3 linked regions of the Schizosaccharomyces pombe genome follow. The protein of the gene in region 1 binds, or shares a complex with, the protein of each later gene. Each region holds a gene or a part of one and is shown in the gene's direction. Other genes may lie near its edges.

Evidence for each region.
Region 2: int6 (region 1) and sum1 share a complex: the UniProt entries of both Schizosaccharomyces pombe proteins name them as parts of the eukaryotic translation initiation factor 3 (eIF-3) complex.
Region 3: int6 (region 1) and tif301 share a complex: the UniProt entries of both Schizosaccharomyces pombe proteins name them as parts of the eukaryotic translation initiation factor 3 (eIF-3) complex.

The regions. Positions count from the first base shown.
Region 1 is NC_003423.3:938,085-941,892, reverse strand, and holds int6 (translation initiation factor), read left to right. Parts: upstream 1-1,584; 5' UTR 1,585-1,631; coding exon 1,632-1,665; intron 1,666-1,721; coding exon 1,722-3,193; 3' UTR 3,194-3,272; downstream 3,273-3,808. Other genes in the region: U3 snoRNP protein Nop56, read left to right, coding at 1-1,068; oss1 (oxysterol binding protein), read left to right, coding at 3,802-3,808. UniProt on the Schizosaccharomyces pombe protein: Component of the eukaryotic translation initiation factor 3 (eIF-3) complex, which is involved in protein synthesis of a specialized repertoire of mRNAs and, together with other initiation factors, stimulates binding of mRNA and methionyl-tRNAi to the 40S ribosome.
Region 2 is NC_003424.3:5,357,063-5,361,056, forward strand, and holds sum1 (translation initiation factor eIF3i), read left to right. Parts: upstream 1-1,861; 5' UTR 1,862-1,893; coding exon 1,894-1,956; exon of another isoform or gene 1,957-2,011; coding exon 2,012-2,132; exon of another isoform or gene 2,133-2,488; coding exon 2,489-3,291; 3' UTR 3,292-3,442; downstream 3,443-3,994. Other genes in the region: F-box/WD repeat protein Pop2, read left to right, coding at 1-180; rer2 (cis-prenyltransferase), read right to left, coding at 330-440, 496-712, 759-1,018, 1,131-1,337; met8 (siroheme synthase), read right to left, coding at 3,510-3,994. UniProt on the Schizosaccharomyces pombe protein: Component of the eukaryotic translation initiation factor 3 (eIF-3) complex, which is involved in protein synthesis of a specialized repertoire of mRNAs and, together with other initiation factors, stimulates binding of mRNA and methionyl-tRNAi to the 40S ribosome.
Region 3 is NC_003423.3:3,312,409-3,318,004, forward strand, and holds tif301 (translation initiation factor eIF3a), read left to right. Parts: upstream 1-1,922; 5' UTR 1,923-1,929; coding exon 1,930-1,968; intron 1,969-2,013; coding exon 2,014-4,773; 3' UTR 4,774-5,044; downstream 5,045-5,596. Other genes in the region: histone acetyltransferase complex subunit Nto1, read right to left, coding at 1-472; DNA primase large subunit Spp2, read left to right, coding at 5,375-5,540. UniProt on the Schizosaccharomyces pombe protein: RNA-binding component of the eukaryotic translation initiation factor 3 (eIF-3) complex, which is involved in protein synthesis of a specialized repertoire of mRNAs and, together with other initiation factors, stimulates binding of mRNA and methionyl-tRNAi to the 40S ribosome.

The DNA.
Region 1 (3,808 bases):
TTCGAAAGGGCTCAGCTTGGTTTAGGACATTCATACTCTCGCGCAAAAGTGAAGTTCAATGTTAACAGAAATGACAACATGATTATCCAAGCTATTGCTATCCTTGATCAACTTGACAAGGACATTAATACTTTCGCTATGCGCATGAAAGAGTGGTATTCTTGGCATTTCCCTGAGCTTTCGAAGATCGTTGGAGACAATTACAAATACGCTGTTATTGTTACACTGGTTGGTGATAAAACCACCATTAACGACGAAATGCTTCATGATCTGGCAGCCGTTGTAGACGATGACAAAGATATTGCTCAAAGTATAATCAACGCTGGTAAAGTGTCTATGGGACAAGATATCTCTGAAATTGACCTCGAGAATATTCTATCTTTTGCTGAACGTGTTATTAAACTTAGTAATTATCGTAAACAGCTACATAACTATTTGGTTCAGAAGATGAATGTTGTTGCTCCCAATCTTGCTGAATTAATTGGTGAGATGGTTGGTGCTCGTTTGATTTCTCATGCCGGAAGTCTAACTAACTTGTCAAAATGCCCGGCTTCTACGGTACAGATTCTAGGTGCTGAAAAGGCTTTGTTCCGTGCTCTGAAAACCCGTGGAAACACGCCTAAATACGGTATTATTTACCATTCTAGTTTTATTGGAAAAGCTGGCGCTAAAAACAAAGGCCGCATCTCTCGTTTCTTGGCTAACAAATGTTCTATTGCTAGCCGTATTGATAACTTTAGCGATGCCCCAACTACGGCATTTGGTCAAGTTCTTCGTCGACAAGTCGAGGAACGTCTCAACTTTTTCGATACCGGTGTCGCCCCTACTCGCAATAGTATTGCAATGGCAGAAGCTTATGAAAAGGCATTATCGAGTGTTAACATAGACGGAGACGAGGAGGTTGACATTGACGTTGAAGAGACTGTTGAAACCATTTCAGAAAAGCCGAGCAAGAAAGAAAAGAAAGACAAGAAGGAGAAGAAAAAGGAGAAGTCTAAGAAAAAGCGTTCTGCCGATGATGCATCAGAAGAAGTCAAGAAAAGTAAGAAGAAAAAGAAGAGCCATTGAGACGTTATTTTTATTAGGATATAACGGGGACCATATTGCTCTTGCATATTTAGAACAACTTGTAATTGAAAAATTTGCTATAGATTATGGGCGTAAATACTGTAATATTACTAAATCGATTGATATCGAGCTTATCATTTTGATGGATGGACGTGTAAAACTTATCTCTTAGTAAGCATTTACATTTTATTAAGTAGCATTTATGTATTATTCGTATAAGAAGTGCTATTTATATCGAAAGTTAAAAAAATATTAGAAACCAGTATTTGACAATAATTACAATTTAAGTAAAGATCAAGAATCGGATAAAAATTTGTCTTACACATTGATTTACATTAGCTGGTAGTAAGTTCGAGCTTAATTAGTTTTATGAAAAACTATTGGTTAAAAAAAGCAAAAATATCATTAAGGAATTTAATATTTTTTGTACGAACATTGCTGACCTACTATTGTCATATTGCTTTTCAGTACTGTAGTCTAAGGGGGCTACTACTAGAGTTTTGGGTGAGTTGTGCTATCCTCCCCACACCACGCACTTTTTTTTTGCGTGAAACATATCAGATATGGGATCCGAGCTTAAGAGTACAAGCCCTTTAGGTAAGCTAATTTAGATTTATTTTTAAATACAGGAGAATGTTTTCTAACCTTTATAGCGGTCAAGTATGATTTGTCGCAAAAAATTATGCAACACCTTGACCGCCATCTCATTTTTCCTCTATTGGAATTTTTATCTTTAAGACAGACTCATGATCCAAAGGAGCTTTTACAAGCTAAGTATGATTTGCTTAAAGATACCAATATGACTGATTATGTGGCCAACTTGTGGACTAATCTTCATGGGGGTCATACCGACGAGGACATGGCAAATGCTTTTGCTGAAAAGCGACGCAGTGTTTTGCAAGAGCTCTCTGAACTTGAAGAAGAGGTTCAAGGAATTTTAGGTGTCTTAGAAAATCCTGACTTGATTGCAGCTCTTCGTCAAGATAAAGGTCAAAATTTACAACACCTACAAGAACATTACAACATTACCCCTGAACGTATAGCTGTTCTTTACAAGTTTGCTCAATTTCAATATAATTGTGGAAACTACGGTGGTGCATCAGATTTACTTTATCATTTTCGTGCCTTCAGTAAAGACCCTGAATTAAACGCCTCCGCGACCTGGGGTAAATTTGCTTCTGAAATTTTGACTGTTGATTGGGATGGGGCTATGGAGGAATTGGGAAAACTTCGCGAAATGGTGGACTCCAAAAGCTTTAAAGATTCTGCTGTTCAATTGAGAAATCGAACTTGGCTCCTCCACTGGTCCTTGTTTCCTTTGTTTAATCATGCAAATGGTTGTGATACTCTTTGTGATTTGTTCTTCTATACTCCTTATCTCAACACCATCCAAACCTCTTGTCCCTGGCTATTAAGATATTTGACTGTCGCTGTTGTTACTAACCAAAATAATGCAAATCAAAAACCTCGTAACCCTAGGCAATCTTATCAAAGAAGGATGCGAGATCTCGTACGCATCATTAGCCAAGAAAACTATGAATACAGCGATCCTGTGACCTCTTTTATTTCTGCTTTGTATACTGAGGTCGACTTTGAAAAAGCTCAGCATTGCCTCAGAGAATGTGAAGAGGTTTTGAAAACCGACTTTTTTCTCGTATCTTTGTGCGATCACTTTTTGGAAGGTGCTCGCAAATTACTTGCTGAGGCATATTGCCGTATTCACAGTGTCATAAGTGTTGATGTGCTTGCTAACAAGCTGGAAATGGACAGTGCTCAATTAATACAACTTGTTGAAAACCGTAATAATCCTTCAGTTGCCGCAGCTTCTAATGTAGCTGCCGATCAAAGTACTGAAGATGAAAGTATTGAATCTACCTCTACAAATGTTGTTGCTGATGATTTAATCACGGAAGCCGAAACTGCTACTGAAGCCGAAGAGCCCGAACCCGAGGTACAATTTGGGTTTAAAGCTAAGTTGGACGGTGAATCAATAATAATTGAACACCCTACTTATTCAGCTTTCCAACAGATTATAGACCGTACAAAGTCATTAAGTTTTGAAAGTCAAAACTTGGAGCAATCTCTTGCTAAAAGCATTTCGGAGTTAAAGCATGCTACTGTTTAGACAAGATTAGCAAATAGTTTAAAGGTGGAATATATTTCATACATTAAAAATAAAACATAGGAGTTTAATTAATTCGCTAATTTTGTATTTTCAAACAACTCGTTATTGTAGAAGATGACTGTGTACTTTCCTATTTAAAGAAACGTGCTCATTGAATATCGCTATTAGTATATTAATTTTGGAAATTTGAAACATGCGGGGATATTAAAAAAATATATATTATCTAAAATTTTTTTATTTTCTGAAGTGCATAAAAAATAAATAATTAATGCAAAAGTATTAATGCCGCTATCTCAACATGTAGAAAATGTGTCGGTGGAATTAACTTATGTATATATTAAATTGCTGTAATAATACTAATCCAATTGCATTAAATTAAATTTCCCTAATTGATAGATAAATAAACGATGCTGCAACGGTATTACCGTAATTTAATCGAAAGACTCGCTACAACTAATATGTAAGTTTGGTGTTTAAATTTCATATCAAACCAGTACACCACGAAAGCTTGAGACAGCATCCGTTTCCGTGCCACCAACATTTATCAACGCAAAGATATCTCTTGAAAAGAATAGATTTTTGGTCAGTAGTAGGACCAGGACCTAAAGATGCCAA
Region 2 (3,994 bases), on another chromosome or scaffold:
GGTAATGATGGTTCTGTAAAGTTATGGGATGTTAGGACTGGAAAGCTGTTACGTTTTCTATTAACAGACCTCACAAAAATATGGCATGTCGATTTTGATGCTATGCGTTGTGTGGCTGCAGTGCAGCGTGATGATCAAGCATATTTGGAAGTTATTAATTTTTCCGGATCAAGACCGTAGAAAGTTTCATTTTAACAATATTTAAGAAGACATAATTAGAGTAGTGTCTAACTATTTACATCAGCTACTAACACATATTAAATGTATACAATGTAAAATTAACAGCCAAAGCCTATCAAAAGTAAATAAGTAACGAAGGATTGAATAAATTATGCTGGTTGGTTTTGTAACTGGTATTGAATTAACATTGGGAAAAACTTCCAGATAGAAAAATCCGGCCAGTAGAAATCGATGAATTTTATCTCCGTATTTTTGTGACACTGATAAAATTAGTTGAATATCTTTGACTAGAAAATTAGGAGAATTTTTACTTACCTGCCATAACATAAAATCAGATAGACGCTCCACACCGCTAGTGCGAATCAACAAGTCTAAAGGAAGACTATCTTTTATCAATAGGTTTTTTTCAAATATATCTTCATCTATATCTTCTGGAGTGATTGTACCATCTTCTGCCATTTTTACTATTGATTGCACAGAAGTAGCAATTTCATGTCGAGAAGTGTATGGAAAGCAAACATTTAATGTTGCCCTAAGATGTCAATTAGCAAAATAAAAATTTGAAAAATTTCACATACTTTGTGTTATGTTTTGTAATTTCCACAGCCTTTAGAGCAGTTTCTAAAACGTCAGGTTGCAACCTGCTAAGATCGCCAACAATGCGAATACGGATCCCATACTGATCAACCAAATCACCATGAGCAGTAATTTGCGTTAAGCTGTTTTTTGCAATCTCCATTAACATATCAACTTCATATTTAGATCGCTTAAAATTTTCAATGGAGAATGTGAAAGCCGATACTTCTTTAACTCCTAACTTCAGACACACTTTTAATAGCTTACGCAGGGTTAGTTAATGTACCAAATTGTGCAGAACGTAGACGGATACCAATGCGCAAAACATGGAGAAACGGTACGTTTAACCTTCTATTAATGTTCTTTAAACTTACAGATTTTAAAGCTTCAAAACCTGAGCTATGACCCTCGATAGTTTCCATCCTTCTTTGACGAGCCCACCGTCGATTGCCATCCATTACAAAGGCTATGTGTTGTGGTACTTTGCCACGTTTAATTGTATTTATCATCATCGTTTCTAATTGATCAAGTGTCCATTGTAATGGAGGACAGTGAATAAACCAGCCTGATAAATTACCCATATTGTCAAGATATTTTGTCAATTCTTTTCTTTTCCTTTATAAATGCACGCTAAATATCAAAGAGAAATAATTATCTTGATAAACAATTATTTTCAAAAAACGATTAGATGTTTTTGACGCTTCTATAAAACACTCAGGTTATCCGGTTCTAGATATGTTTTATAAGTATAATTACCAAGCACGCTAGAAAAGGATTTTTAGCTAAGGAAATATACTTTCAATCGTAAACGAATGGAACAAAGAGACGCTAGTTTAAGACCAAACGCTTTTGTATTTTTTTTTAAAAATCACGAAAGAAATATTATTTTTTGTACAAATAAGTAAGACAGACAAAATTCAAACAAAACCACAAAATACTGTTTTCAAAGTGAGACGTGCGACCTTTGGGTCTAACTAGTCTAACGCAAGTGTCTCAGAAATGAAGCCAGTTCATTTAAGAGTGTCGTTAAGCCTCCTTATTTTTAATACCATCCTTAAGTTACGCTAATTAGAATCAAAATATTACAACTAAAGACTTTTCGCTCAAACCCTCTACCAGCACTTTCCTGTTCAAAAGATGAGGCCTATCATTTTACAGGGTCATGAGCGTCCTTTGACTCAAATAAAATATAATCACGATGTAGGTTTAATAACCGTCCATTATATGTGGAAAATTTACTAATTTTTGTGTGTAGGGTGATTTATTATTCTCATGTGCCAAGGATAAAGTGATTAATGTCTGGTTTTCACACAATGGTGAACGCCTAGGTACATATGAGGGTCATACTGGTGCAATTTGGACTTGTGATATTAATAGTACGTGAAAATTGGTGGTGATGTATGTTGGATTAAGACATCTAAAGGTATACGGATTATGGAAGTATAAGGAAACACGAATAATGAAACATATCATGACTCTAATAAATGTATTTTTTTTATTAGTCGTCCGATTGCAGATGGTTATACTCGTGATCCACGATTCTGAGTTGGCGTAGTACTTAAAGTTAAATATGCATGGTGCATCTCCTTTACTTATATTAATGCTACGTTTACCTCACTTCACTTCCTCGTGGAAAGCATTTAAACTTCTTTTAAATCCTTTTCCTTCTTCTTGATGCCTCAAATCCAACTAGATCATCTGTTCCTTTTCCAATGGTTACTAACTGAAACAGAAAGTAGCACTTTAATGGTTAGTGGAGCCGCTGACAATACCATGCGTCTTTGGGATGTTAAAACAGGAAAGCAGTTGTACAAGTGGGAATTTCCTACTGCTGTCAAACGTGTTGAGTTCAACGAAGATGATACCCGTATTCTTGCTGTTACCGAGGAACGTATGGGTTATGCTGGTACCGTCACTGTTTTCCGTGTTCCTATTTCGGAAAGCGATGCCGCTGCTGAAACCCCCCTTTACGTTATTACTACTCGTGAATCTAAAGCAACGGTCGCTGGATGGTCTTACTTGAGCAAGTTTCTCTTTACTGGTCATGAAGATGGCTCCGTTTCCAGATACGATGCTATAACCGGAGAATTCGTTGAATCTAAACAAGTTCATAATTCTGGTTCTACTATTACTGATCTTCAGTTTTATCCTGATCGTACTTACTTCATCACTTCTTGCAAGGATACGACTGCTAAAGCTATTGATGTTGATTCTTTTGAAGTCATCAAAACATACCTTACTGATACGCCTCTTAATACTTCTAGTTTTACTCCTGTCCAAGACTTCGTTATTTTAGGAGGTGGTCAAGAAGCCCGTGATGTTACTACTACTGCTGCTAGACAGGGTAAATTTGAAGCACGTTTTTATCATGCGATTTTAGAAGAAGAGTTAGGCCGCGTTAAGGGTCATTTCGGTCCTATCAACACAATAGCTGTCCATCCCAAAGGAACCGGTTATGCTAGTGGTGGAGAAGATGGTTATGTTCGGGTGCACTTCTTCGATAAAAACTACTTTGACTTCAAGTATACATTGTAGGTTAATTTTATTCAAAAAACTGTTGATAGTATAGTAATGGACAACGGAACTTTTTTCCAAAGATGTATCATTTTCGTTTAGGGAGCATTATATGAAAAATAACCTTCTATGAGTACAAGAGTTTTTTAATAAATTCCATTCAAAATTCAAATGTTTTAAAGTGAAAAGTAATGTAATTGTCATATTCCGTAAAGCAACTAACTTATCAAACGCTTCTTTTAACGAGCTTTTGAAACATGTTTGAGGAGAACAGCCCCAGAAATTATAATTGCTCCAAACCATATGTAGTTGTCTATCTTGCTGTAGGCTGGAGTCGTTATTTCTCGATAACTAGGTGTTTTTTTTGGGAAGTATCCCAAAAGTCGGTTGATGAGATTTTCGTCGAGCATGGCAAGTTCCTCCAAAGACCACAGTTCGCAAATCTCAATCATCCATCTCATTCTTTTGCGACTGTTTTCAGGTTCGGGAACAATGTCTCGTAATTTTTGTCGTAAAAGGCCAGTTTTTTCCAATGCCATACCAGTAGCTGGATTGATTGAACTTTCGATTTTTTTTCGTATTAAACTGGCAAGTTTTGGACCTTTACCATTGGTGCTAACCATAATTTGTAGAGGGCCGTTACGGATTTCAGACCCAAAGTAGAAATCACATTCAGGTGGAATATCCGCCGCATTGACCGGGATTTTTTTGCTTTTGCATAACT
Region 3 (5,596 bases), 2.4 Mb from region 1:
CATTTTCCCACTCTGAATTAGATGAAAGTTGAAACTCATTATAATATGTTAACCACATTGTGTCTAACTCATCCAAGTCGTAGGATACAGGAAAGGACGTTTTTGAGTAAGGATGTATAGCAACGAACTTGAAATATTCGTCTGGACTCCAATCTAATTGTTTCGCAGTTTTATATCCAAATTTTTTCTCTTGTGGATTAATATTTTCCGTTTGAACACCTACTGGCTTTACGTTTTCGATCTTGGCATTGAGCAAAGCTTTAAGCACATAAGAATTCTCGGATTTATAGGTTACTAAAGAATCACGAAGGCCTGCATATTGTGTATGGTCACCTTCTAATATTTCCAAAGGTTCGTCTATTTGTAGGTCTGGATGGAAAGATTTATAGGGAATCTCTTCTCTCGGCTGAAAAGCAAGTTCATCGGGTCTTAGAATATTTCGACCAGTAGAAGTAAGTCGGAAGGTTTGCATGAAAGCCTTTTACAAGATAGATTTACCATACTATCTTTTTTACATTTCTTTCATGGTGTAACTATATTTACGAGAAAAAGGTGCAATTTTGCTTAAACTTCAATAGTGCATTCTGCCGCTGATGATTAAGCAGAATAAGCGGGGGTAACGTGAATGACCGAAATAAAAAGATGATTGTAAACAGTTGAACTCTGAAATGAAAATAGTTTGGACATAGGAAGGGGTAAATTTATTCTTCCCGTTCTTTCTCTTTTTATATTTATTGGTGTTGTTTTCAAAGAAAACCAGAGGAAATTGGAAAGCGTGATTTTGCATTTTACGGAAATGTAAGAGTTACAATTATATACAGTTGATGTGAAAGTACAAAGATTTTCGAGATGCTTGATAAAAAGCCCTTTCAAGAATCTTTGTGAATAGTTTATAAGCTAATATTTTTGTACCCGCCATCAACGAATACTTCACTTAGTTTATTCTTCTAGAAGTCTAACATTTACACCAATCACAATTAAATTGCTTCATCAAAATGGGCCTCTAGAGTTTACCTAGCGTCGAAGAGATTGAGGACTTAGCGTTTTTTAACAAAAAAATCTTTCGGAATACATAGGGTTATGACCTCTTTATTATAATACTTTGACAAACTATATTCGCTAAATCTTTCTTCCTTTATTCAAGCTTTGAGTAAAAGTAATGCGAGTTTCTGCTACTTTTCAAGGATAACACTTTAAATTTTAGATTGGCTCGGAAAATATTTCGCTCAAACCACACTTCTTTCACTGGTAAGGTCTCAACGTTTATATAAGTTTGTTGCCAATTGTAAATAAGAGTTTAGACAATGCTACAAGTATAAAACAATGCATAAGCCCTGATGAGGAACTCAAGCGAGTATCGACTCAACGGCAATAAAGATTATTTTAAGAACTAACTAGTTTTATCACCAAATACATCAAACAAAGAATGGACTTGGTGATTAGCGTAGAAACAGATCTACGGCTAAAATTCCAAAACTATAACGGTACTAATATTTCTTGGATGTACATTGTGTAACGATAGTAATTAGTAGCGGCAACAGAAAAATCTGACTACTATCCCATAAACGTTCAAATAAAAGCAAAAATAGAGCTTTCCTCTGTTCTAAACTGAACTGGTATTTTTTAAACAAACATGATAGATTAACGAGTATGTTAGCACTTCACACTAGGCGATCTATTCAAATTTAGTCATATTATCGTATTCGGTAAACCACTAATTTCTTTGCACAAAAAGTGATGCTTATTCAAGTCAAACCTAAGAAAGATATGAACAACTAACTATATATATATGCATGTGCTAACATTTTTTTTTGCAAAATCAAGAATTAAGTACCTCTTGTTTAGTGGCTTATATAAAACTGCGAGGTAGCTCGCTATTCGTGTAATAAAATTTTACTACGACAAGGGGGAAGTTTTCAACTGCACAACATGGCACCTCCTCAAGGAAAGCCCGAAAATGTGCTAAGGGTATGTATTATGAGTTTTTTACTTACTTTGACTAACATAAATTAGCTTGCCGATGAGCTGATAGCTCTAGATCAGCACAGCTCAGCACTGCAATCTCTTCATGAGACTATAGTTTTGAAAAGATCAAGAAACGCGCAGGGGTTTTCTCTCGAGCCTATTATGATGCGTTTCATCGAACTTTGTGTTCATTTACGCAAAGGAAAAATTGCAAAGGAAGGCTTGTACACCTACAAGAACGCAGTTCAAAACACCTCAGTTACCGCTATTGAGAATGTAGTCAAGCATTTTATTGAACTTGCTAATAAAAGAGTTCAAGAAGCTCAGGAGAAGGCAGACAAGATATCAGTTGAATATGTTGACGATCTTGAGGCTACTGAAACTCCCGAGAGCATCATGATGTCTTTGGTTTCGGGAGACCTTTCCAAGAGCCGCACAGACCGTGCTTTGGTCACTCCATGGTTGAAATTTTTGTGGGATGCTTATCGTACAGTTCTTGATATTTTGCGTAATAATGCTCGTTTAGAAGTAATGTATCAGTTAATTGCTAACTCTGCATTCCAATTTTGCCTCAAGTATCAGCGTAAAACCGAATTTCGCCGTCTATGTGAACTCCTTCGGTCCCATCTTGGCAATGCTTCTAAATTTTCAAACGCTCCACACTCTATTAACTTGAATGATGCTGAAACTATGCAGCGTCATCTGGACATGCGTTTCTCTCAGCTAAACGTTGCTGTTGAGCTTGAACTCTGGCAGGAAGCTTTCCGATCCATTGAAGACATTCACAGCTTGCTTACGTTCTCTAAGAGGGCTCCTGCTGCAGTCATGCTTGGCAATTATTACCGTAAATTGATTAAAATCTTTTTGGTTTGTGATAATTATTTGCTTCATGCTGCAGCTTGGAATAGGTACTTCACATTTACAAATGTGCAAAAACCCGCTACTGCTAATTTTGTAATTTTAAGCGCTCTCTCTATCCCTATTATTGATGCCAACAAATTATCGGGCCCTTCCATTGAGGCAGAAGATGCCAAGAGCAAGAATGCTCGTTTGGCTCTTTTGTTAAACTTATCGAAAACACCTACGCGTGAAACATTAATTAAGGATGCCATTTCTCGTGGCGTTCTTTCTTTCTGTGATCAGGCTATCCGTGATTTGTACCAGATTTTGGAAGTTGAGTTTCATCCATTGAGCATTTGCAAAAAACTTCAGCCTATCATCAAAAGATTGGCAGAAAGTAATGATACTGCTCAATACATTCGTCCTTTACAACAGGTTATTCTTACTCGTCTTTTCCAACAACTGTCTCAAGTTTATGATTCCATTTCATTGAAATATGTTATGGACCTTGCTACATTCGAGGAGCCTTACGATTTTAACCCTGGTCAAATTGAGAAATTCATTATGAATGGTAACAAGAAAGGTGCATTTTCTATTCGTTTGAACCATATTGAAAATTCCATTAGCTTTTCTTCTGACTTGTTTTCTAATCCCATTAAGTCTTCGGATTCTGTTTCTCTTCAATCTACTCCATCTGAATTAATTACATCTCAACTTACGCGGATTGCCAAATCCCTTTCTAGTGTTTTGATGCGTTTTGATACCGATTTCTGCCTTTTACGCAAGCAACAAGCCGAGGCTGCCTACGAAAGGGCTCAGGCTGGTGTTGAACAGGAGCGTAAAGCGGTCATTGCTCAGCGTAGTCTTCTCGAATTACGTCGTGGACAGGCTGATACACTTGCTACTCAACGTGAAGCTGAGCTTGCTGCTCAACGCGCTCTCAAACAAAAGCAAGAATCTGAAGCCGAGTCTCTCCGCGTTCAAGAAGAAATTAATAAACGTAATGCTGAAAGGATTCGTCGTGAGAAGGAAGCTATTCGCATTAACGAAGCTAAAAAGTTGGCCGAGGAGCTCAAAGCTAAGGGTGGATTGGAAGTCAATGCCGAAGACTTGGAGCATTTGGATGCTGATAAATTGAGAGCTATGCAAATCGAACAAGTCGAAAAGCAAAATAAGAGTATGAACGAACGTTTGCGTGTTATTGGAAAGCGTATCGACCATTTGGAACGTGCTTATCGTCGTGAAGCTATCCCATTGTGGGAAGAAGACGCAAAACAACAAGCCGAACATGACCGCGAAATCTTTTACGAGAGGGAGAAACAACGCAAGGAAGTACAAGAGCGTAAGCATGAACAAGCCATTAAAGACAAAAAGGCTTTTGCTCAATTTGCTTCCTATATTCATGCCTATAAGCAAAATATTGACGATGAACGTGATAAAGCATATCAGGAGGCATACGCCAAAGCTAAAAATGTCATTGATGCAGAGCGCGAAAGGCAACGTAAAGAAATTTTCGAACAAAAATTGGCTGAGGCTATTCGCGAAGCTGAAGAGGAGGCTGCTCGTGCTGCTGAGGAAGAGGCAAACCGTGAGCTTCATGAGCAAGAAGAAGCTCAAAAACGTGCTATCGAGGAAAGAACTCGTGCAGCTAGAGAAGCTAAAGAACGCGAACAGCGCGAAATGGCTGAGAAATTGGAACGCCAAAGACGTATTCAGCAAGAGCGTGATGAAGAAATATCTCGTAAGCTTGCCGAGAAAGCAGCTGCTAGAAGAGCAAATATTGGCGCATCTTCACCTAGTCCTGGTGCTTGGAGGCGCGGCGGTGCTAGTGCTGGCGGTGTTTCACGAGACTCTCCAAGGTATTCTCGTGGTGGCTACTCTCGTGGTTCTGTTCCTCCTCGTGAGACCCTTGCTCCTTCTAAGGGAGCATATGTTCCACCAAGCAGACGTAATCAACAACAACAGTAGTAAACCTACTGTCTATAAGAAAATAAACCTGTCGACAATTAATTATTGTCGCAATTGGATATTGGAGTCAAGTCTTTACGATGCATTATCTAATGTCACAGCTGATAAATTTAAATGAACTAATGTGTTCTCCTATTGAAAGTTGTAAGTTCCTTTTTCTTACAAGGGTAGTTGGTTACTTTCATGCTATTGGAATTCATGAAAGCGGTTATGTGTATAAAAAGAGCCTTTTGTAGCTCTATTTAATAGATAATTATCGTTAACCTTTGAACTTTTTTTAATTTGTATAATACTGCTTAAAGCTTGACTTGTTAATTGTAAATGTAGAACGATACTAATCGAATAAAGATGTTACATGTCAAGTTTATAAGCGACGATGAGTTTTTACAGTTGACGTTTCTGTAGTATGCATTTCTCATTTCAATAATTCTGAATACAACGAGTGAAGAAATAATTCATTAATTATTAGCAACGTGTTTTGTATTAGTACCAAAAAGGTTAAGCAGCTTAAAATATTTGTTTAAAGACACTCAAAGTAAAAAGGTTTCTTGGTGAGAGGCACGACAATTTGTTACCGCAAATAGACTCTTCGCTAACCACCATGTTCAGAACGACCAAAAGTCGAGTAGTTGAAAAGAATCAAAATTTTTCTAGTGCTAGTTTTGAGAGTTTAAGTTATCCTACGCGACTTAATTTTTATAAGAAACCTCCTGTCTCTGAAATAAGCATTGAAGAGTTTGAAACATGGGCAATAGACCGATTAGTTGGTATGCTTTCCATTTTCTTTATTATTTTCTATTCTTTTGGAGTAAGCTAACTATTT